Linked DNA regions of Mytilus edulis. The protein of the gene in region 1 purifies or fractionates together with the protein of each later gene. This does not show direct contact. Links are inferred from orthologs where the notes say so. Each region holds a gene or a part of one and is shown on either strand. Other genes may lie near its edges.

The links. The genes of interacting proteins can lie anywhere in the genome.
Region 2: the proteins of C-Jun-amino-terminal kinase-interacting protein 4-like (region 1) and serine/threonine-protein kinase PLK1-like purify together in Homo sapiens (affinity purification with mass spectrometry; 7 studies listed by BioGRID and IntAct, counting the BioPlex papers as one, with this or other methods). This does not show direct contact. The link is inferred for Mytilus edulis from reciprocal best matches to the Homo sapiens genes SPAG9 and PLK1.
Region 3: the proteins of C-Jun-amino-terminal kinase-interacting protein 4-like (region 1) and nuclear factor NF-kappa-B p105 subunit-like purify together in Homo sapiens (affinity purification with mass spectrometry; 5 studies listed by BioGRID and IntAct, with this or other methods). This does not show direct contact. The link is inferred for Mytilus edulis from reciprocal best matches to the Homo sapiens genes SPAG9 and NFKB1.

What each region holds. Positions count from the first base shown.
Region 1 is NC_092351.1:70,274,495-70,283,018, forward strand, and holds the start of C-Jun-amino-terminal kinase-interacting protein 4-like, read left to right. Parts: upstream 1-5,129; 5' UTR 5,130-5,294; coding exon 5,295-5,591; intron 5,592-8,524. Other genes in the region: uncharacterized protein, read right to left, coding at 135-234, 1,407-1,495, 1,871-2,001, 2,418-2,487, 3,151-3,251, 4,903-5,068. UniProt on the Homo sapiens protein: The JNK-interacting protein (JIP) group of scaffold proteins selectively mediates JNK signaling by aggregating specific components of the MAPK cascade to form a functional JNK signaling module.
Region 2 is NC_092350.1:30,189,115-30,196,940, forward strand, and holds the start of serine/threonine-protein kinase PLK1-like, read right to left. Parts: upstream 3,690-7,826; 5' UTR 3,512-3,689; coding exon 3,407-3,511; intron 954-3,406; coding exon 846-953; intron 578-845; coding exon 461-577; intron 1-460. Other genes in the region: PIN2/TERF1-interacting telomerase inhibitor 1-like, read left to right, coding at 3,914-3,986, 5,862-5,984, 6,775-6,931, 7,353-7,458. UniProt on the Homo sapiens protein: Serine/threonine-protein kinase that performs several important functions throughout M phase of the cell cycle, including the regulation of centrosome maturation and spindle assembly, the removal of cohesins from chromosome arms, the inactivation of anaphase-promoting complex/cyclosome (APC/C) inhibitors, and the regulation of mitotic exit and cytokinesis.
Region 3 is NC_092352.1:47,166,966-47,174,841, reverse strand, and holds the start of nuclear factor NF-kappa-B p105 subunit-like, read left to right. Parts: upstream 1-4,187; 5' UTR 4,188-4,233; coding exon of another isoform or gene 4,234-4,252; 5' UTR 4,253-4,274; coding exon 4,275-4,308; intron 4,309-7,876.

The sequences.
Region 1 (8,524 bases):
TTGGTGACATTGACATCATCTCCTTACATACAAAAAATATTTTTAACAACATCAAATAGTACCCATAAAAATATCTAACAACCTTAAATCAAAGGATAGTGAAGAGAGACTTTTAAAGTGTGTGATCACCTTACATTGTGCAGCAGAGGTCCAAGAACTAAAGCACTGTCCACACATCTGCCAGTGATAACAATATCGGCACCAAGGTCCAGAGCTCTAGCTATTGGTCCAGCTCTTCAAAAACAGAAAAGGTAATTTATATATTAGTAAACATGTAAGAGGCACAGTTCTAACTTTTGCTTTTTAAAATAAGCAGATGTGGTATAATTGCCAATGAGAAACTATACAACACATCCCAAATGATGTAGATGTTAGAATCTAAAGATCAGTCTACAGTCTTCAACAATGAGCAAAACATGGTAATTCCTAACAATATGATAGGTTTTGCCTCTTAGCCTTAATTTCATCTTGAGATAACATCATTAATAAGACTATGGTGATAACATACCTAAACCACAACTTTAATGTTCAGGGAACCAGTAAATATGGGTCAAAATGCTAATTTGACACAGATATTACTCAGTTCACTCCATAATCAACTTGCATACTAAGTGTCAAGATGATGTGAACACAAACTATAATTCATTAACAGAGAAAAGATCACTGGCAATGACAAATGAAACATAGCTGTGGACCTCTGAGAGAGTGAGACAGTCACTAAATTCATAATCAGGGACTTTTTCTTGGTGTATGTTTAACCTTGATAAAAGGTCGTCCTAGTATAAAATGGTGATTCTTGGTGAAATGAATGTTTGATTGGTGAGTAGTAAAGAAGATAAAATAATTTCTGAAAACTATGGATTTCAGCCATGTCTGTCATGTTTTTCTTTTATTTGTGTTTTAAGCAGAAATCAGGTTGTTTATTTCTCTTTTAAAAATTGTTTCACATTTTGTAATGCAGACCCTTTATTCCATAGTTAAAAATATGGATTTTGCTCATTGATTAAGGCTGTAATGTGACAGCGAGTGACCCTTTATTAGATAAATCCTTTGGTATCTGATGGAAAGTTGTCTCATTGGCAATCATTTATAACACTCCTCCTTCGTTCCCTTTATTAGATAAATCCTTTGGTCTTTGATGGAAAGTTGTCTCATTGGCAATCATTTATAACACTCCTCCTTCGTTCCCTTTATTAGATAAATCCTTTGGTCTTTGATGGAAAGTTGTCTCATTGGCAATCATTTATAACACTCCTCCTTCGTTCCCTTTGTTAGATAAATCCTTTGGTCTCTGATGGAAAGTTGTCTCATTGGCAATCATTTATAACACTCCTCCTTCGTTGTCCTCATTTTCATATTTAGAGAAAAAACATTACCCTTAACTGTAATGTATTTCACCAACTTACCCTAAATATGCATTCATACTGTGTACAGTTTTAGGGAATTGATCACCTGAATCCATATCAGTGATTGAACTGTTGATCAATTCTTTGCTCTGAAATAAGCAATAAATACTAAACAAAGGAAAAATGAAAAATCATACTAAATAATTCACTGTATTAAAACTTTTAAAATTGGTGGTCAATCAATATATAAAGCCTTGTTTCTTATGTTAATATATCAGCAGAATTTTTATAACATTATCAATATTTGTCACAAATTTTCACATAACATATTCTCTCCTAAATGGTTATTATACATAGGGGAAAATTCTACATTAGCCTTTAATTTTAAGTTGATCTTGTCGTCATTATGAACAGTATTAAAAAAGTTCTTCCTAAATTCTAAGGCCTACTTTCTAATGAATATTTTTTTGTATCCCTAGCAACATATTTTATACAACTATCATTTAATTGTGTCTGTTTTATACCTTAGGCATTAGGTCATCACCAGTAACAACAGCAATATTCATCTCGACACCAACTGAAGCACATATCTGTTTTAATGCATCAGCACAGGCCTGTGGATTTACACCACCAGCATTACTTATCACTTTTATACCTATGATATATATGAAGAATGTATACTGTCAAAATTCATTAAAGATATCAGGCTGTTATTAAACAACCAAATACATAGGGACTCATCAGTGTTGCTCCAATCAAACAATTGCAAGTCCAAATCAATTACTTAATTTATAAGTAAACCATTTAATTCTTTAGGCAGGTTGTATTTTTGCCAATTTGAGGGAGAGTCTGAAAGCAAAAGTAAACTGTTACCACAGAGATAAGTCTCACCTTTTTGTTACTTTGATTGTAAAATGCAAATGTTAAAATTAAAATAGCAATACTGTAACGTGTAAGTTATGCAAAAAAAGTCAAAGTCAATGAACCATGGCTAAATGTACAGGGTCCAAAAAATCTTATTGGCAATGAAATGACAGTCAATCTTTATTTGATATATATATAAAACAATACCTTTAGACTTGATATCTTTGATGAATGGTGCCATACAAATCTGTACAAAATCAGGTGCATACCCTAGATTCTACAATTAAATACATTAATACTGAATTACTTTATAGATTTGTGAAATATGCTGTTTATGTAATAATGTTGGTGATCAAAATGAAAAATACAACATATTTAACTGTCAATCTGCTACACAATATTGAAGCCATCACTGTATTTCTTTGGGAAAAAATAAATTATTAATTGGTGGGTTTTCAATGAAATATTAAGGTTGTACCTAACATCTTCACTTAGATTAATTTTGCTTGTTTAAATTTCATAAAATTTTGACAAGATATTAACTTTGACCCTTTGACAAAAATATAAAAATTTCAAAAAAATTGAACCAACTATTTTATCAGAAAAATTACACTGGTTATACAGCAGTTTCACTGATCATTGAGAAGCTCAATATTTACTTAACAACACCACATAATGAAAACGTTTAGCTTATTTTACAGAGTTATCTCCCTGTAGTGTTAGGTACCACCTTAAGTGAAGTCAATGTTATCATTCCATTACAAAAACATTCAATGTCATTAAAAATTTCTTTGCATTTGTGTGGGATGGCTGGTTTCATTACAATCATTTTGAAGATAACATATAGCCATCTTCATGACTTCAATCAACTCCATTATTCAATTATTCAGTATCTTTCAATCTATGATCTTAAAGTGACATGTAAATAAAATCTACTTACGGGATACTTATGTTTAGCTGAAATTAACAGCGACATTGTGATCTCTGACAGGTAATCAAACACCAGGTAATCTAACTTTGTACCATAGATCAATTGAGGAGCTAAAAAATACAACATAACATGTAAATTTAAAATTATAGAAAGTGTACCATAGATTAATTGAGGAGCTAAAAAATATAACATAAATTATAGAAAGTTTAACTTTGTACCATAGATCAATTGAGGAGCTAAAAAATACAACATAAATTATAGAAAGTCTAACTTTGTACCATAGATCAATTGAGGAGCTAAAAAATATAAAATTATTTATAGAAAGTATAACTTTGTACCATAGATCAATCGAGGAACTAAAATATATAACATAAAATTAAAATTATAGAAAGTCATATTTGTACCAAATAGATCAATTGAGGAGCTAAAAAATATAAAACTACTTATAGAAAGTCTAACTTTGTACCTTAGTATAGATCAATTGAGGAGCTAAAAAGTATTATTAACTATTAAAGAAAGTCTAACTTTGTACCATAGATAAATTGAGGAGCTAATAAACATAAATTAATCTTATAAAATAATAAATGAATCAACAAAATTTAACCAAACAGAGATTACAGATAATGTTTTATTCTCAAGCAAAATAGGATGTCAATACAAGCACATTTTTTAAATGGCTTCAAAAGAGAGGTGAAAGATACCATGAGTCTAAATTTAAAATGTCCTGGCAAAAAAAGAAAAACAAGAGCAAACAGCATACAAAACACTTAAGACTGTCAGAGAAACAAAACCAAAGATTGGTAGAAGGAATAAAAACAATTAAAAAATTTCTACATGAAAAACAAATATAACGGTAAGACAAAAAAAAGCACTGAATTAAGGGTACTCAAAGTTGCTGAAATGTAGTTCAAAGCCAACTTAGTCTTCAACTAGAGCAGTAAATAAAAAATATATTACCAGACTTAAGTATTAATCAGTACACATCCAATGGATTTAGTGTACAAATTCATAAACTCTAAGAAACACATCACCATACTACCAATACCATAGATGTAATACCCATTATTACATTTATGCTAATGTAACCTGAGAGCACAAATTTCATTACAAAATTGCCTCCACAGGGACTCAAACCCGGGACCTCTGTGTTACAAGGCAGCACGCTAACCGACTGAGCTAAAGAAGTACTTCCTTAGCTCAACCGCTTACGGCTGACTACAATGTAAGTAACTACTAAGTTTTTCTAAGGGCAGCAATCCTGTTACACTTCCCCCACCTCAAGAGTCATTATACTCTATAATGATGATATTTTCATCTTTTTTATATTTATATTTTAACCGTGGGTTATTATTGTTGGGCGCCAATGTAACCGGAGAGCACGAATTTCATTACAAAATTGCTTGTCTCCACCGGGACTCGAACCCGGGACCTCTGTGTTACAAGGCAGCGCGCTAACCGACTGAGCTAAAGAAGTACTTCCATAGCTCAACCGCTTACGGCTGACTAAGTATCTACTAAGTTTTTCTAAGGGAAGCAATCCTGTCACACTAATACTAATAGCAAATAATTATTTTGACCCAACATGTTATTGAATTAAAAATCTTGAAATTTCAATCTTGTTAGATTTATCTTTAACAATATTTCTATATTGTCTTGCTGTTTGCTAGGGAGGGGGAATCATTAATTAAAATTAAGTTTAAAAGTAATACTTGGGGCGATTTTATGGGACGAATTGACCTAATACAAACTTTGAACTCTTACCAGCCACAGCTGTATCCCCCCAAAAACCGCAGGCACATCCTATTCTGACTGTTTTGCCCTGCAGTATTTGGGAGGAAAATCTTAAGTGTGTTACTCGTATTTTTTGTGGTGCAATAAACTTCGAAATGGCACCCGAAATTCTCCTGAGGTGCCTGAACCCAGTCATGTTTGTTTTTGTATTGGCCCCCAAACCGGAAGTGGCTCATTCTTTCGCCAACGCATGCTCTGTACATCACATGATTAATTTATACATCAACTTGTCAATATGGACGACAGCTCAGACGTCAAAACAGAATTATTTCCTTTTGATCAAATCCCATACGTATAAACAAAATGTAGCTATATTTAGCAAACTCAATTATATATTTTATAGCTGATTGAAAATTTGAAAGATGGCTGAGATAGCCGAAACGGTGTATGGAACTAACGAGGAGGGCCATGTCATGTCAGAAAAGGTTTCAGCACTTGCCACGAATGTTTACAAAGAATTTGAAAGGATGATTAAAAAGTACGACGAAGATGTAGTCAAAGAGTTAATGCCATTAACTGTAGGTCTTTTAGAAGGTTTGGACCAGGCGCTGCAAGATAAACAAGAATCAGATGTAGAATTGGAACTCTTGAGAGATGATAATGAGCAGTTGTTGACACAGTATGAAAGGGAAAAACAGCTGCGAAAAGTAGCAGATCAGGTATTCACAAGAGACATCTTTTGCTTTAATGCGGAGTATAATAACAACCGATGCATGAGCACAAATAAATTAATCAGAAACCTTTAATCTCTACGACTTTGAATCCTCAAAACCCTCAATACTCATATCACACCTCAACCCCTGCTTTTATAGTTTATAGTTCAAATAATTATGATGTCTTGCAACATGTTTAACCCTGCCACATTATTTATGTATATGCCTGTCCCAAGTCAGGAGCCTGTAATTCAGTGGTTTTCGTTTGTTTATGTGTGACATATTTGTTTTTCGATCATTTTTTTACATAAATAAGGCCGTTAGTTTTCTTGTTTGAATTGTTTTACATTGTCTTATCGGTGCCTTTTATAGCTGACTATGCGGTATGGGCTTTGCTCATTGTTGAAGGCCGTACAGTGACCTATAGTTGTTAATGTCTGTGTCATTTTGGTCTTTTGTGGATAGTTGTCTCATTGGCAATCATACCACATCTTCTTTTTTATATTGCAAGATAAATTGTTTGGACTACCGCTGCATGTGTACGCTAAATTGATGCATTTCAGTTACAAAATAAGTTTGGCCACAGGCTGATTCAGTCACATTACCAATTTGACCATATTGATTATTCAATATGCAGACTGCAGTCACATTTTTTCATAATGGTCATACTGTAAACTATATTAAGTATATTTTACTAAATATTGTTTTGTAAACATGGTAAATGAATAAATATCATTGATCGAAAAAAGTGATTTTGTCATTTGATATTGACTACATTTTTTTTTTTTGGTGCATCTATAGTTGTGGAAGATAAGTACTTCTGTAACTAATTAATTTGGCCTCACAATTAATACTCTTATAATTTCTGGTAATCATGGTAATGAAAACACAATTTCCCTGGAGTTTAATTTGGTGCCTTATTTACATGACATTATTTTTGATTAAACAGAACAGTTTTGCATTGGTTTTATCACATACTGCCTTAGTGGTCCTGGCAACAAAATATACTTGCAGGCTTTATTTATGATATCTTTGTCAGATATATAGATTCAGTGCCATAATCATGATAATAGATTATGTGAATCAAAAGATTTCCGAACTCTGTGATTGAAGATAAGATTCATTGGATTGACGTAAATACTTTATAATTTTTCTTTTTCCATTTGAAGTCAAGTTACTTTTTTCTTTCATAATAATTTAACCTTAAATTTCACTCTACATAATAACATGCAAAATTGTAATTCCTAAGGGCCCCTTCTATAACCAAATGTCTTTGACTTTAATTTAAAATCTGGGTTTTCCCAATATAATTCCTCTGGTTAGGCAATTCTGATAATTTTGCATGTCTGTCAGAATGATTTCTCTTTTATCCTGCATTTTCAAGGGATCTGTCTTATATCCCATAAAGGTACATCCAGAAAAGATGCTTGTTACCAAAAGTTCTCTATTTTCTAAATTACATGAATTACTTGCATTTCTAGTCTTGATATCTTAAAAGTACATTTTTATACGACCGCAAATTTTGAAAAAATTTTCGTCGTATATTGCTATCACGTTGGCGTCGTCGTCGTCGTCGTCGTCGTCGTCCGGCGTCCGAATACTTTTAGTTTTCGCACTCTAACTTTAGTAAAAGTGAATGGAAATCTATGAAATTTTAACACAAGGTTTATGACCACAAAAGGAAGGTTGGTATTGATTTTGGGAGTTTTGGTCCCAACATTTTAGGAATTAGGGGCCAAAAAGGGCCCAAATAAGCATTTTCTTGGTTTTCGCACTATAACTTTAGTTTAAGTTAATAGAAATCTATGAAATTTTGACACAAGGTTTATGACCACAAAAGAACGGTTGGGATTGATTTTGGGAGTTTTGGTCTCAACAGTTTAGGAATTAGGGGCCAAAAAAGGGCCCAAATAAGCATTATTCTTGGTTTTCGCACTATAACATTAGTTTAAGTAAATAGAAATCAATGAAATTTAAACACAATGTTAATGACTACAAAAGGAAGGTTGGTATTGATTTTGGGAGTTTAGGTCCCAACAGTTTAGGAATTAGGGGCCAAAAAGGGACCCAAATAAGCATTTTTCTTGGTTTTCGCACCATAACGTTAGTATAAGTAAATAGAAATCTATGAAATTTAAACACAAGGTTTATGACCATAAAAGAAAGGTTGGGTTTGATTTTGGGAGTTTTGGTCCCAACATAATAAGGGGCCCAAAGGGTCCAAAATTAAACTTTTGTTTGATTTCATCAAAATTGAATAATTGGGGTTCTTTGATATGCCGAATCTACCTGTCATGACTGTGTATGTAGATTCTTAACTTTTGGTCCCGTTTCAAATTGGTCTACATTAAGGTCCAAAGGGTCCAAAATTAAACTTAGTTTGATTTTGACAAAAAATGAATCAGTTAGGTTCTTTGATATGCTGAATCTAAAAATGTACTTAGATTCTTGATTATTGGCCCAGTTTTCAAGTTGGTCCAAATCGGGGTCCAAAATTAAACTTTGTTTGATTTCATCAAAAATTGAATAAATGGGGTTCTTTGATATACCAAATCTAACTGTGTATGTAGATTCTTCATTTTTGGTCCTGTTTTCAAATTGGTCTACACTAAAGTCCAAAGGGTCCAAAATTAAACTTAGTCTGATTTTAACAAAAATTGAAATCTTGAAGTTCTTTGATATGCTGAATTCAAAAATGTACTTAGATTTTTTATTATGGGCCCAGTTTTCAAGTTGATCCAAATCAGGATCTAAAATTATTATATTAAGTATTGTGCAATAGCAAGTCTTTTCAATTGCACAGTATTGCGCAATGGCAAGAAATATCTAATTGCACAATATTGTGAAATATCAAAAAAAAAATTAATTAGAGTTATCTTTCTTTGTCCAGAATAGTAAGCAAGAAATATCTAATTGCAAAATATTGTGCAATAGCAAGA
Region 2 (7,826 bases), on another chromosome or scaffold:
TATTTCCATTTTATTTTACTTTTCATTTTTTGTGACATAGTTTTGAGTCATGCGGTTTTATCTTGTCGTGGTCGGAGTTAATCATGGACCGAGTTAACCAGTATTTTTAATGATTGGATTATTCCCCTTTGTTATTGGTTGGAAAAAATGGCTGCAAAGAGTTTATTTCATCACACAAGTCCCAAATTTCCTTAAAATAGCTATCATATTCATGATTGTGAACATTGGGATGTATCAGGCAATTAATTTATATTATTGGCAACACTAACTTCACTTTTGACACGAGTTCAGTTTTTTTTTATGACTGAAATAAAATGTCTTAGGGTCGGCACTCAAAAGTAGGGTCGGTCGGGTAACCGTAAACAGACATATATATTTTTTTGGCCTTAACAATTCATTGTGCCATTTGTGGCTAAATTTGTAATCCTTATGTTTTTATTGCTAACAGTTTTTTACTTACCCTTCTACGACACAATTCTAGTAGAATATAAACATGATCAGAATCCTCAAAGAAGGAATGGAACTTTACAATGTACTTGTGTGATATACTTCTGTGGATGTTGATTTCTTGTGTCATCTGAAAAATATAAGTTTTATAAATAATTATGTACAGCATACATATGAATTCTGTTTTATAAAATCATTTTTTCTTTTGAATTTAGCATTTTATTTATCTTTATGTAAGAAACTAACCTGAATAGTTAGACTTTCCTTGCAATTGATCCCTCTCACTCGCAAGGGCCTGATCACAATGCAAGTGAACTCTTGATACAAATGCAAAACACTTCAATTATTTCTATTGGCTTTTTTATAATTGAGTAAATAAACATAATTATATAAAGTACCTTGTCCTTCTGATGTTGTTTAACCAGCAGTGATTTGGGAACAACCTTCCCAGCAAATAGTTCTTTTGTTTCCACATCTGTCAACTCGTAGCATTTAGCAAATCCTCCCTGTAAATAAGGTACAAAACATTTAAATTTACAGTGTCTTCCACTTCATGTTTTGCAGTGTCTGTAAAAAGGGGAAAACTATAATTCAGGACCTATAATTCCTTGGTGCTGTCTGCTATATTTGTTTTTAGCATAAATGATATCAAGATGTTTGTTTAATACTAAGAATTTGTTTCACATTTATTGATTAAGTTTACTGTTATATATGAAACTTTAAAAGCTTTATTTATACTATATTGTATCATACCCCCCCCCCCCCCCTTTTTCATGATTTAAGGCAGTTGTGCGCCCTTTAGTTGTTTACATCCTTTGGACTCTGATGAAAAATTGTCTCATTGGCAATAATACAACTTGATAGTACAGTGTACAGCAGTTAGTCCGTTTTTTTTTTTATCTTCATAGCCACATTTTTGGGAATTAATTAAATCTTCAGTAAGAAAGCTAAGTAAGGCCGTTAGTTTTCTCGTTTGAATTGTTTTACATTGTCTTATTGGGGTCTTTTATAGCTGACTATGCGGTATGGGCTTTGCTCATTGTTGAAGGCCGTACAGTGACCTATAGTTGTTAATGTCTGTGTCATTTTGGTCTTTTGTGGATAGTTGTCTTATTGGCAATCATACAACATCTTCTTTTTTATATATAGCACTAAATATATATCTAATTATAAGTTACAAATATATAAAAAAAAAAACTTATCAGCATGTTAGGAAAAAAATACTATTAAAAATAATAGTAAACTTTTTTTTTGCAGAGCAGAACTGTACTTCACCATACAATGTATGTACAAGGGGTGAAGACAACACAATTTCTTAATAGTTACAAGAAACACATATTTTATTTTGGTCTATAGAAGTACAGTGAATCAAAAACTAACCATTGATCTGAATAGACATTTAATTAATTGCAGACAAATCTTGTTTAGTTAATCATGTTAATCTGATTTGTAAAAAACAAGCTCTTAATGGATTAATTTCATTTAAATATCTAATCCATATTTTACCCATAGAACTATAAATCTTTATTTTTGCACTGGATATATATATCTTAAATCATTATGAGGGTGGCTGTTTTTAGCACAGACATATAATATTTATACAAAATGTAGTGCACTGCAAGCATAATTTATTGATGGCAAGCTAAACACAGGTTTAATGTACATAATGTTACTTTTCAAATTTTGTATATTGCTATTTTGGAAATCTGTGCGCAACAAGTTCACTGAAAACTTGACACACTGGAATTATGAAGTCATACAACAATCAAATTTCCTTAGTGATGCCAATATTTTCTATGTCTATAATGATATGATTACTACAAAATTTTACAAGACTATTTAGATGTCCAGTCATTGCCAACAAAAATGCCTTCTCCTCACAAATTTAATACTGTGTATTACCAACAGTCACCTTAATGATTTGTCTAAATTAATTAAATGCTTCCTTTTATCACATATTTCTGTGAACCAATAATAATTCAGCCATGGTGTCTTGGGGCCAAATAATGATTAACCTTAATGTTCGTACCATGACAGCAAATATCTGATATCTAATTTATTTTTATATCCCTAAAATTTGATACCCAAAACATCTTGAACACCTTCATTATTATCTGGAGTGGAGATCAGTTTTTTCACTGTAAATTTCCCGATTTTGCAGTGTATTCCAAACTCTGTCTAACTGACAAAATGTCAGACAAAAATTCATTCGGTCAGACAGACATCCTCAAATTTTTTAGGTGAATATATAGTGGAAAAACTTCAAATTTCTTTTTCAGTCAAACAAAACCTAAAAGTTTGGCAGACTGTTTTGCCTTTTGGATATGGTTTAGGATGTTCCCCCAATCCTCAACCTCCTTACATTCAAATTCTACTAGGTTAAAGATGTGATTGATATCCGATACACCTTATGGATATTTTCCACCATTACTGGATTGCACAAATTATAATGACCATGCCATGATACAAAAAAATCTGAAGCCACAATGGAAAAGCGATTGTTGTATGAGGTCAAAAGTTCAATGGGACAGAATCTCGGGTCAACCAGGACAGATTTCCAAATATGTGTATTAATTTTTTTTTAGCATAAAGAAATCAGCTGTATGTTAACAATGTTAAACATATAAAATTCTGGATCTTTGCCAAAATCTCAGCTTAGAAAATTATACAAAGAAAGGTAAAATAATTATCAGGTTTGTTTCCTTATATTGAAATCACGCGAAACATTTTTAAAATTGACTTTTCATAGATGAATAATTTTGAAATTTGTGTATTTTTTATTTGTTATACTATCATAACACAAATCTTAGACATGTCATAACTTGCATAATCAATAAAATAATAAGGTAAAGGTATCAAATTACTTTTAAAAATGTATATATTGAGTAAACTCTTTTATTGAAATTCTAATATGTAAGTAAAAGGCATAGAATTTTTTATTTAGATTCAAATGTGTTACCTTTCCGAGAAATCTTCCTTTCAAATATCGTTTCCCTGAGCTTGGATCCACAACCATGTCAGGAATTATATCTTTTTTCATCTCTTCTCTTCTCGCGCTAGACATTTTGATATTTCTATTTGGATGCGTAGGTCAGGTAAAAGAAAAAAGCATGAGAGATTATTTCACCGCAGTAGTATTTTAAAAAGAGTTGTCTCTATTTTTCAAAAATATCGTAGTCTCCATTCAACTTCACAGACGAATTTCAAATTTGAGTACTTCGGAAGGTATTCAAATCAACAATAATTTGATTGGTCAGATCTTAAAACCGCACTTTTGATTGGTCAATTGGCTCCGCCAGGTGGACATGTTGTTTCTTGTCACCTTTTGGAATACCTCGGATATTTTCCATGCAATACACAGACGACTATTCATACTATTTAATTGGTTGAATAGTATTGAAGTAGACCAATCAAAATTCTGATATCTAAAAATAATACCGGAAGTTGAAGATTGCAATACACAAAAATGTCAATGCTTGCAGAACCTCGAAGAAAACAAAAGCTATCTATTGACCCAAGAGGTTCAAACTGGAGTAAAGGTATTGGGGGTTTACAGAAGAATTGTCTATATATGTCACTCTTTCATTACCACATTGTCAAAATAAAGAGAAGTACGGGAAGCAAAATAAAAATGAACTGTTATTTACCACGTGTTCCTGAAGTTGAACTAAAGTTATGATGACTTATTTTGTATACTGTACATTTGTATCTCTTGTTACTGTCATTTTGTATGCTGGACAGTATTCTGTTTGGGCACGAATTGATTGTATATATATCATGATCTGAATAAACTATAATATAATCATAGTTTGCATTCAAATTTAACCCAAAGTACACTAACAAACATGTGCCAATAACACACATAGGCACCCCAGTAGTTGTAAAGTCAGTTGATATTTGGTTCTTAAACAGTCATGTGACAACACGTAGTTATCTTCTTAATTAGTTTTATGGTTGATAGAACATGTGTCAATAGTACAACTGTCAGTAATAAGGTAATTAAATTGGTGTGTACACTACGTTTTTCATTAATTATTTTAAAGGTATTTGAAAAGGTGTCCAACTGTACACATTGCTGTATTCAGCTGTTTTTATTTAAATTAAAATTCTTTATTAACTTTGACCCTTACCATACTTACGGCAGTGATGGCTTTTCAATACTTTAAATTAACTGACATAAGTCTTAATGTTCATCTATTTATTTTGTTAACATCCTTGCTTATTGCTTTCATGTAATCTGTTAAAGAAAAAAAGTTTTTATAATATAAAATATGTTAACAAATAATTTATTTCAAATAAGATGAACAACATTGTCCATCACAATAAAATTCTTCTAGTAGTTGGAGTATGCAATATACATGTAACTTACAGGCTAATTTTATGAGATATTTTATTTAGTCTTAGTTCGTTATGAGCTGAGTTAATACGTGATCCTCCAATTGGTGCTTTTTTGTGGAAATTTTATGTCTCTTAAAGTAAATTTCTTTCTGTCTGTCTCAAGGCCTGTTGCGAGTTTCCCATCAAATGACCCCAGTTCAACTGGAGCAGTTGATGAATTTTGAATCAAATTTGAAACCAGTTTAACTAAAAACTGAACAGGATTTTACTGTGTGTATTTTACTGTTCCTTCAAAGTAGTTTCAAGTTGGAATTCCCATAAAATAATGAATTAAATGGAATGTTTTGATTGACATGCACAATTGAGTGGCAATAGAAATATTCACCATAGTAATAGGGAATTTAAACTGTTTAACTGGGTAGACTTTCTTAAATGCAATGCATATCTGTCCTCTTGAGAGTAGATTTTGTGGTATAAACATATTTGTCTACTATAGCTAGGGGATGTTTTATGACCTTGACTTCACATGAGGGTAACATTTGTCAATCCTTTTGATGAACCATAATCAAGATACACTCAAATTGCATCTGCAGTGATATTGTTGGCTTTTTTCATAACTACCTCTACCCTTTTTTATTGGGAAGATATGCATCATTTGTATCAAATTGGGAAATTTGTAATAAACCATGAATTTGACTGGAACTTCAATTTGCAGATCCCCTTTTAAGAGGTAAACCCTCATTTGAAATAAAAGCCCTTATTGTCAGTGATGATACATAAATAGACCCTGAAATCTGTACATATAGTAATTTTAAGGCATGAAAAATGTTTAAATGAGTGTTTTTCAGTTTGTATTCATGCACAATTACTACTTGACTGCACTGTTTGGGAAAAAAATTGTCTTTTTGGGAATAATTTTAAGCCATTTTATTTTCAAATTGGGATTCTTCTCCAGGGGAAAAAGCCTTTATTCTCCAGTAATTTAAGAAAAACAATATCACTGATCTGGAAAATGAGGAATTTGATTTTAGATTTCAAAAATCACAATTAACATAAAACTTTTTGAAATATTTCAGATGAATCTAAATTTGGACAGAAAATGTTGGAGAAGTTTGGATGGTCTAAAGGAAAGGGACTTGGGGCAAACGAAGATGGGCTAACAGATCATGTAAAAGTATCTCTGAAAAATGACAATCATGGTTAGTATTTATTCTGTCTGTTAGTTATATGATATGAACTGAAAGATGAAAATCTTTGATGTTCTGTATTATTTAGCTAAAATAGACACCAAGAACTGTACCATTTTACAACAAGGCAAACTTGGGCACAATAAACAAAGAAGTAAATAACTTAAATAATATAATATAAGAAAATCTAAAAACATATTTTGTTGATGAACCTTGGCAAGAATTAAAAACAAAACTTAACCAACTAGTCCCCGAGTCTATTGAACACCCAGAGATGAAAAAAACATATAAACATATATATAAGCAACTCAAACGTCAAGTACAAAAACAACTTAGACATTCATACTGCCAGTACACTGAACATATAGTTACACCAAAACCTGCGGAAAAATACTTTTCTAACAAGAAAAAACTTGGTCTGCAAAGTACATAATTACAAATACCTTAAATTGGGTTATTTTGGTTGTAGTTTTATTTTGGCTTTTTTGGTGCCTCCAATGAAATTGCCAAAATTAAACACACGAAAATAAATCAAAAACTAAAAATTGACGCTCGAATCAAAATTTTTTAAAAAGGCCAAATAAAGTACGAAGTTTAAAACATTTAGAACCAAAATTCCTAAAAAAATTGCCAAATACAGTTAAGGTAATCTATTCCTGAGGTAGAAAAGCCTTTGATTTCAAAAATTCAGTTTAGTTAACAGTTAATTTATAATTATGAACATATCAATGATAACTCAAGTCAACACAGATATCTATTTATATATATTAATTTGATATCTATTGCAATGTTTATTTTTAAGGTCTTGGATGTTCTAAAAGTCAAGTAGATAACTGGATAGCACATCAGGACGACTTCAATGCTCTCCTAGCTAACCTTAATCAATCTAATACACAGATTGATACTGAAAAGGTATCCAGTCTTGAAAACAGATCAAAAACATCTAAAAGTCGTGTACAGTAAGTTTGTTTGTTCATAAGCTAAGAAATAATTTTATAATCTTGCTTGTTTAAAGATATTGTCTATTTCTATTTATTAGACATCATAAGTTTGTTTCTTGTCTTTACAATCTTGATTTTTATGAATCATCATTTGTTTGATTATAATACACCTACAGCTTGTAACATTGTTCAGAAAATCTATTACATTTCATAAAGTAATTTCTCAACACGAACCATATACATGATTGAATTTACAACTTCATTAGTACCAGATGTAATGTGTACATATGAAAAACTAATTTGTAATATTTACATTTGTATTTATAACAACTTTGTAGATACATGTAACTGGCAAACATACTAAAATGTGTACAATTTTCCATTAGTAAATGATATCATGCTCTCTACTTTTTCAGTGATTTATCTTAAAATATTTCAGTTACCAGAAGTTTACAAAAGGTAAAGACCTTTCTGCAAAATCCAGTCAAGACCTTGATTGTATATTTGGTAGACGTACAACAAAAACAGAGGATACCGTAGTCTCGGTTAGAATCAATTTCCAAATTCTACATAAATTGAAATGTTTAAATAAGAAAACTATCTAGATCTCAGAATGAATGAAATGTACATAAAGAGAGGTTTTATATGCCACAAACAATATTAGGGGGGGGGGGGGGGGGGCATTATAATTTCTGGTCTATCTTTCTGTCCCTTACTAAGTGTTTGGTCAAGGTAGTTTACCATGAAGTTGTACTCGCATCAACTTAGTTTATTACACTTGTTCATTATAATGTGAACTTTCTGTATTTTTCAAAATGGGCTCGGTGTTCTATGGACAGATATTAATTATTTTAACTCACAATAAATCAATGCACAATAAAGTATGACATCTAAGATATTACAGTAAAATGGC
Region 3 (7,876 bases), on another chromosome or scaffold:
TAACCGGCCAAAGCTTTTAAAATTTTAATATGTTGTTACTGACAACTAAATGAAGGTCAAGTTCAATAATGGCGATTTTGACTTTTACCGTTCAGGAGTTATGGTTCTTGAAAGATTGAAAAATGGAGTTTCCAGTCATGTCCGTGCATTTACACATGAACTGTTCTTCCAAAACTTCCCAAATTTTAATATGTTGTTACTGATGACAAAATGGAGGTCAAGTTCAATTATGACGATTTTGACTTTTACCGTTTAGGAGTTATGGTTCTTGAAAGATTGAAAAATGGTGTTTCCAGTCATATCCATGCATTTTCTCATGAACCATTCAACCAAAGCTTTTGAAATTTTTATATGTTGTTACTGATGACAAAATAGAGGTCAAGTTCAATTATGACGATTTTGACTTTTACCGTTCAGGAGTTATGGTTCTTGAAAGATTGAAAAATGGTGTTTCCAGTCGTGTCCGTGCATTTTCTCATGAACCATTCAACCAAAACTTTTGAAATTTTCATATGTTGTTACTGATGACAAAATAGAGGTCAAGTACAATAATGACGATTTTGACTTTTACCGTTCAGGAGTTATGGTTCTTGAAAGATCGTAAAATGGCGTTTCCATTCACGTTGTTACATTTACTCATAAACCATTCAATCTAAGCTTTTCAAATTTTAACATGTTGATACTGATGACAAAATGGAGGTCAAATTTGATATTGATGATTTTCACTTTCATCATTCATCAGTAATGGTTCTTGTGATATTGCCAGGACACAAATAAATGTTAATAAATCCGGTTTGCTGTCGTTGTGACAGCCTCTTGTATTTTAATATTTTAATGAGTACTTACATGTATTGTTGCAAACTCCATTAGAAATTTAAATTGAGATTATTTTTGGAGTAAGGGGAAGGGGAGGTGAAAACAAATTGGAAAAAGGGGGGGGGGGTAAATAAGAATTTGTGGGGGGTTACACTTTTTCTCTCATTTCAGATTTTAGAAATAATAAGAAAATTTCTTCAAATTATTTTTTTAGGGCATTATTCAACAGCATACTCAATTGCTCAAAAGCAAAATTGAACATTGATTCTGGCACACTGACCTCATGACCAAACACATGTTGCCACATTCATCAAATTAAGAATCAATTTTTACATGTAGACAATAGTTAATTACCTGTACCTTAGAAGTCTTATCTACCTTAATTGATTCTTACAACATTATAAACCTCAGGGCAATCATCAGGTGTCTTGAATATAATTTAATTTCTGACAAGAAATATTACACGCGATATCACCCGATATGGCAATGTTTATAGTAACATTGCCAAAACAGCACAAGGGCATTTGAGGGGGGGGGGGGGGGGGGCAGAAGTCTAAGGGCACAAAGGCTGTAGACTGTAGCATCTTCTATTTGGGTTAACACAAACACTGATTATTTTTACTGCATGTGATTTCATTTACTTTTTCAGTTCTAACTTATGTGTGGGTAACTGTAACATGTGTACTAACAGTTATCTTTACCATGAATTTACATGTTTAAATGTTCAACAAATCACTATTTATGCATAGGCTTTTATAATGCTTGTTTACAGAATTAGTTTTAAAATCTTGAAAACCATGCACTTTATTACATGATTGGTTGCCATGACTTACATGTACATGTATATAGATTTCCCGTTGAAATAATACCCATAATTTTACATGTGAAATAAATGTGGTTATCAAAACAAGTTGTGAATTCTTAGAAAAAAAATATAGTTACTTACATTTTTATATGCCTGTTTACAGGACGTATTATGGTACCATTTGTTGTCTGTCCGTCCGTCCACTATCAACATGTTGGACATTAACTCCAAAAGACTTTAATAAATTTGCATAAAACTTTGCTTACTTTGGTGAATTGTTTATATCTATTGACACAAAATGTGTTGACATTTCTTACAATGAATTGAAATACATTGTTATGCAAGTCTGAGCAAAGCCTCTAAAGAGATATAGAGAAACTGTAATAACACCCTTATGTTATTGCAGGAATATATTTTCTGTTATAACATAGGTGTACTTTGCATGATTGGTAAACTATGAGCTGTTGCAAAGATTAGTATACTTACGTGAGCTCAATTTCTTTTTTTTTTTTATAAATGTTAGAATTATGTTTCCAAGTTATGAGGTTTTATTCATTAAAAAAGGGGGAAATTTCAAGTTTCTGATAATAACTGAAGAATGATTTCACCAACTTGCAAAAAATTTTGTCAAGTTGTTAATATCATAACATGAGCTCCCTTTTGATTTTTTTGATTTTAGATTTTTTAAGTTACAGGGTTTTGTACATGTTGTTTGCAAAAAAGATGAATTTTCCAGTTATCAGACAATTAGTCAAAAATACTTTAGCAGTTCTCATGAAACTTTTGTGAATTGTTTAAATATCTATTGATGTAAGCCCCCTTAAGAATTTTATAAATTTTAGATTTTACATTTCTGAGTAATGGGGTTTTATTCATAAAAAAGGGGGAATTTTTCAGTTTTCGGATGATAATAACTTACAAATACTTTCAGCAATTCTCATGAACCTTTGGTGAATTGTTTATCTCTATTAAAGTAAGCTCCCTTGTGATTTTCACAAATTTCTAATTTGGCATTGAGAAGTAATTGAACTATATTCTTTGAAAATTTGACAGGCCCTCACGACGCAGCTGCTTATTTAAATTTGTCATTTCATTTTATTTTTTTTTTAATGTTAAATGACCCATCAATGTACATTGGTGATAATATCTCAATTTAATTCCTTGTGTCAAAATGTATTTAGATGCACAATATTTTAAACAGGAGACAAAATATCACACCATTCAAAATGTTTAAATTATGCTTGGATATCAGAAAAAGCTATTTTTTTGGTAACACTAAATGAGGATTACACATGAAGACAAAATTTCAGTCCTACATCAGATTAAGGTATTTTACCGTGAAATTGTGATCATATATATACTTTAAACCCAGTACACCTGTTCATTATGATATAAATTTAAAAAACAATTGTAAGCCAAAATAAAAAGGGTAATACCCGGGTTTGCTGTTCATTGAACATGAAAATGTGATAGTGCTAGTTTGGAATTGTGTCCTATTAAGGTTTATTCTTGTTTATTTTGTGTTTTACTTTTACAGCATTCAGTAACCTGAAAAAGGCAAAAGGGAAATTTGTGAGCATGTAAAATTGTTAAAACGCACCTTTTTTTTTGTGCCTGTACCAAGTTTGACTATAAAGAATATATATATATACAAGTATGCTTCTGGAGAATTTTGAGGAGTGCCTCTAGCAGCTTCATTTCAATCATGTGTTTTTAATATGCATTTTGCATTTTAAAAAAAATGCATTTTTAATCTAAACACTAAAACATGCATACCAAAGCTTTTTTTTAAATGTTCTCCTTGTTGGTTTGTTTAAGGTGGTACCCAACACTTTAGCTAAAATTAATTTGGGTCATTTAATTTTCTCAAAATTTTGACAAAGTATTTACTTTGACCCTTTTACAAAAATATAAAAATTTCAAAAAATTTGAACAAACCGTTTTGTCAGAAAAATTACACTGGTTATATAGCAGTTTGACAAACACTTATTTTGATCATTGAGAAGCTTAATATTCCCTTAACAACACAACGTAATTAAAACGTTTAGCTGATTTTACAGAGTTATCTCCCTGTAGTGTTAGGTACCACCTTAAGCCCCATTCCCAAATGTTTCTGTCCTTTAGCTAACTTTGATTTACTTCAACCAAATGATATTAAAAGAATACACAACACATATTTGCATAGACACAGATCAAGTTCAAATTTGGGTGGCGTCACTTCTACAGTTCTCAAGTTAGTTACCTTTATAATGTATTATGCATGTTGGGGCATCATCTGTGTCTTGTGGACACATTCTCAATTTATTTAACTTTTATTTTTCTCTACTGACAATGACTGAGTTTTTGATAGATGAATAAGTTAAACTATTGTTAATTATAAGAAACTAATTTATTCCCAAAGTTTAAAAGACACAAAAAAGAGGACGAAGACTCATTTTACATGTAAAAAACAGCCTTCAAAGGAAGAACAAACATTTTGCAATACCTTATTGACGAAACACTGAAATAAGATAATTAATGTACTTTAAATACCATATATACAAAAATTGGAAAGGCCCAAAAAGTTATATTTAGGACTATAAGCTTAAAATAGATTGAATGTAGGAAGGAAGATGATTAGGAAGTTGATAGGTAAAGTTACGCAATAATAATCATGCAGATTGAAGAAAGGCATAAGTCGCCATTAGGTAAGAGGGAGGGGAGGGTTAGGCACCTGCAAACTTTTGTTTTACCCTCCCACATTCTTTATGTCATGTATGTGCCTGTCCAAAGTTAGGAGCCTTCATTTGTGGCTGTCTGTTATACTTGTTTTTCTATGATTGTTTCGTACAAAAATTCAAGCCGTTAGTTTTCTCATATAAATTGTTTTATATTTGTCATTTCTGCATCTTTTATAGCTTGCTATGCGGCATTGTTATGCTTATTGTTGAAATCCACATGGTTACCTATAGTCATGATAGTTGTTAATGTGTACTTGTTGTCTTCTACGTCTTTTGGTCTCTGATGAAGAGTTGTCTCATTTGTAATTATAACATTTCTTCTTATCTTTACAGAACAAAAAAGGGTTATAATTTCATAGAATTGCATTCAAGTTACTGTAATAACAGATTACGTAAACTACTCATTGATGCCTTTTAAAACACTATATTGGTAGGATCTGTGATATATAAAAGCTCTGCTATAACATGTATATTTCTTTTGTGCTGTGAGACGATTTGATTTTTGTTAAAAGTTAAATTGACATAAAATAAACGTTATAGTAACCTATAAGATAGATAACTTAACAAATGATAAGAAGATTCCATTTAAAAGGACATTGTGACTTGTGTGTGTTTTTCTGGAAAAGATATAGTGAGCTGATTGTATGACATGAAGTATACACTCTATTGTATAATTTTAGTTCCTTATGTGGTTAAAAGGTGAATAAAGATTTTTTTTGTTGATATAAAGTCAATAACAGGTTCTGTCATGTATCTTATCCCGATAGGTAGCTATAGACAATCATATCAAATACAAAGTCACATCACTTTTTGAATAAATTATATAATTTGAAAGGTAAAATGCACTGTTCAATGCAGTTAAATTAAAATTAATCCAAACATGTTTTGTAAGTAGTCTTTTGTTTAAACTAGATCAAAACTATGGAAATGAGGAAAATCTCTACTAGAACAGGGAACTGTTTTATTAAACTGGTACTCAGTCTTCAGTTTTGAAATTAGTTTCAAGTTTTAACAGCCTGGAATATATAAATTCAATTGAAAGCTTTTATTTAAACTCAGTCTTGATTACGTCAGTCTTAAAATGTAGTTCAAGTAGGAGCTAGAGCTAGGCTTCTGGTTATTCTCTAGCATTTTGTCCAGGGTTCTAAAAGGAAATTGATATAAGACCAAAAATAATTTCAATTTTACCTGTTGTGTGAACCTGAAGATATGAACACTGTAGTTGGTTCTTGTTGAGATTGAAAATAAAATATAGAGAAAATTTCAGTAGTATTATACATGTTATATAATTAAACAAGCCATAATTTAAAAGAAAAGGAAAAAAGAATATATTGTAGGAGAACCAGTTAACAAAATTTTACTACAGAAATTATCACTAGAGAAAGGGCGTGCAAATGTATTTGGTGTCCATAAAAAGAAGAAAAAAAATTACTGCAGTTTTACAAGTGCCTACATCAAATACAATGTGTTTCATTATTTTTGATAGAATTGAATACTGGTATCAGCCTTTCAAAAACAATAACTTAATCACATTGTCATCTTTGTTTAAAGATTCTGATGTTCAATTGTTTTTTGGGGTGCAAATATCTTTTTCAATAAGGGTATGTGACCTGTCTTGTTAATCCAACCTTTTCATGTCCTGCTGTAGACTTTGCATTTTTTACCTCAAAGTCCTCTTCTCTGATAAGGTCTGTTTTTTTGGTCCTGAGTTAGTCATGGTAATGGTATTCTGAGACTGCTCTGATGTCTGACTACCTTTTCGGGACTCTCTCGGGCCATTGTCCCACGGCCCCAGCAAGTCCTATAAAGAGGCTGTAAGACTTCAGAGCAATCTCTGACTAGTTCCATGAATCATTGAATGTCCTTTACATGTATATTAGGCTTTTCTGTATAGTATATGTATATATATATATTCAAAAAACGTTTCTTTTCAAGCGGTGTACAGAATGATATATTAAAAATTAAATACACAAAAAGAGTTTTAAAAGCAGCATTGTCTAGCGCTTTCATCAATCTTGGGACTTTTCAAGACTATGAACGTTGTTATGGGGAACACATTAGTATTATGACGTAACGTCATTGTTCATAACATATAAAGTAGTATGACACGATGTTATTGTTCATGTAACTACTAAGCATTAAGCTTGTGTTCCCCATAGCGACATTCATAGTCTTGAAAAGTCCCAAGATTGATGAAAGCGCTAGACAATGCTGCTTTTAAAACTCTTTCGTGTATTTAATTTTTAATGTATATATATTTATATTGAAGTTTCTTTGATATTCCATTGTATAAAATATGATGAGATATTGATAACAGAAAGATATGGTCCTTAAATGTTACTTTTGTTGAATCAAAATTTTTAACTTCCTCTTTATCTGAAATATCGTAGGCGTGATTATTAAAGAAGTAGCCCAGCATAGGTTAGTGGAATGTATCGTTTAAGTATTTAGGAACAGGAAATAAAAAAAGATATCCTCAATAAATGTATGAGATGTAAACTGAACTAAAAGCAATACATTGAATTATCTTTGAGATTTATATTGTACAAATATGGTTGCCGTTTATTTTTTCCTTTTGACTGCTGTTTCTGAATAAATAGCAAATAAAAGAATAAAATGTTTATGGCCAGCAACTGTGTCAGAAACTTTAAAGGTAAATAGATTTATACCAGCAATCTCATGTTAGACATCTTGACATTATTTACTCCTGTTTATTTTTGTCTATAGAAAGTAAATGAAGGAAATTAATTTTCAACATTGCTGCAGGCATAAAAACAGATACAAATGTATTTAGAGTGAACATGGTGTATTTTATTGTGTTTACATGTTTATTTGTATAATTTTTGTGTAAAAAGTAAGAAAAATTGTTCGTCTTACTCAGTTTTTAAACAGGTAAATTCTTTAAAAATTATTAATCTGTTAAATTATTTTACTTGTTAAAATTATTTAATATATGTTGAACATCATGTTTTTTTAACATCCTGAAGATTTTTTTGGGTTATTAATCATTACACATGTAAATTTAAATCCATAACTTATTGTTTTGTATCATCAAATATCCTGTTTTTGTTTTCTCCTTTTTTGGCAATAAATATTTTTATTTTATCACCATAGATTTACCATTGTTTATTTTGAAATGGAATGCTAGCTATATGTGATCTCTTTATGTGACAGTGAGTGGTATAATGTATAGAGTTTTGGTTTAAGGGGACTGGAATCTGATTAATTTTATCACGATTCAAAATAAATTATACCGTGTAGAAAGATTTCTGTACAAGAAATAGTCTTAGTCTGTGTCAGTCTTGTAAGATTTATTTCATTTGATGATGCATGACTTATTGCTCCATCTTATAAACCTAATTGCTACTTTCAAATGAAGAACAGCGATAAATTGGCTGTTCCTTTGCATTAAGTTTTGTCAAAGGTGAGTAGGGAATTAACATGCAATACCATAGTTTCCAAAAAGTCCATTACTTGCTGGTCAAACTTAGACAATACCTATTCTTTTCCATCAATATGATTATACACACAGAAT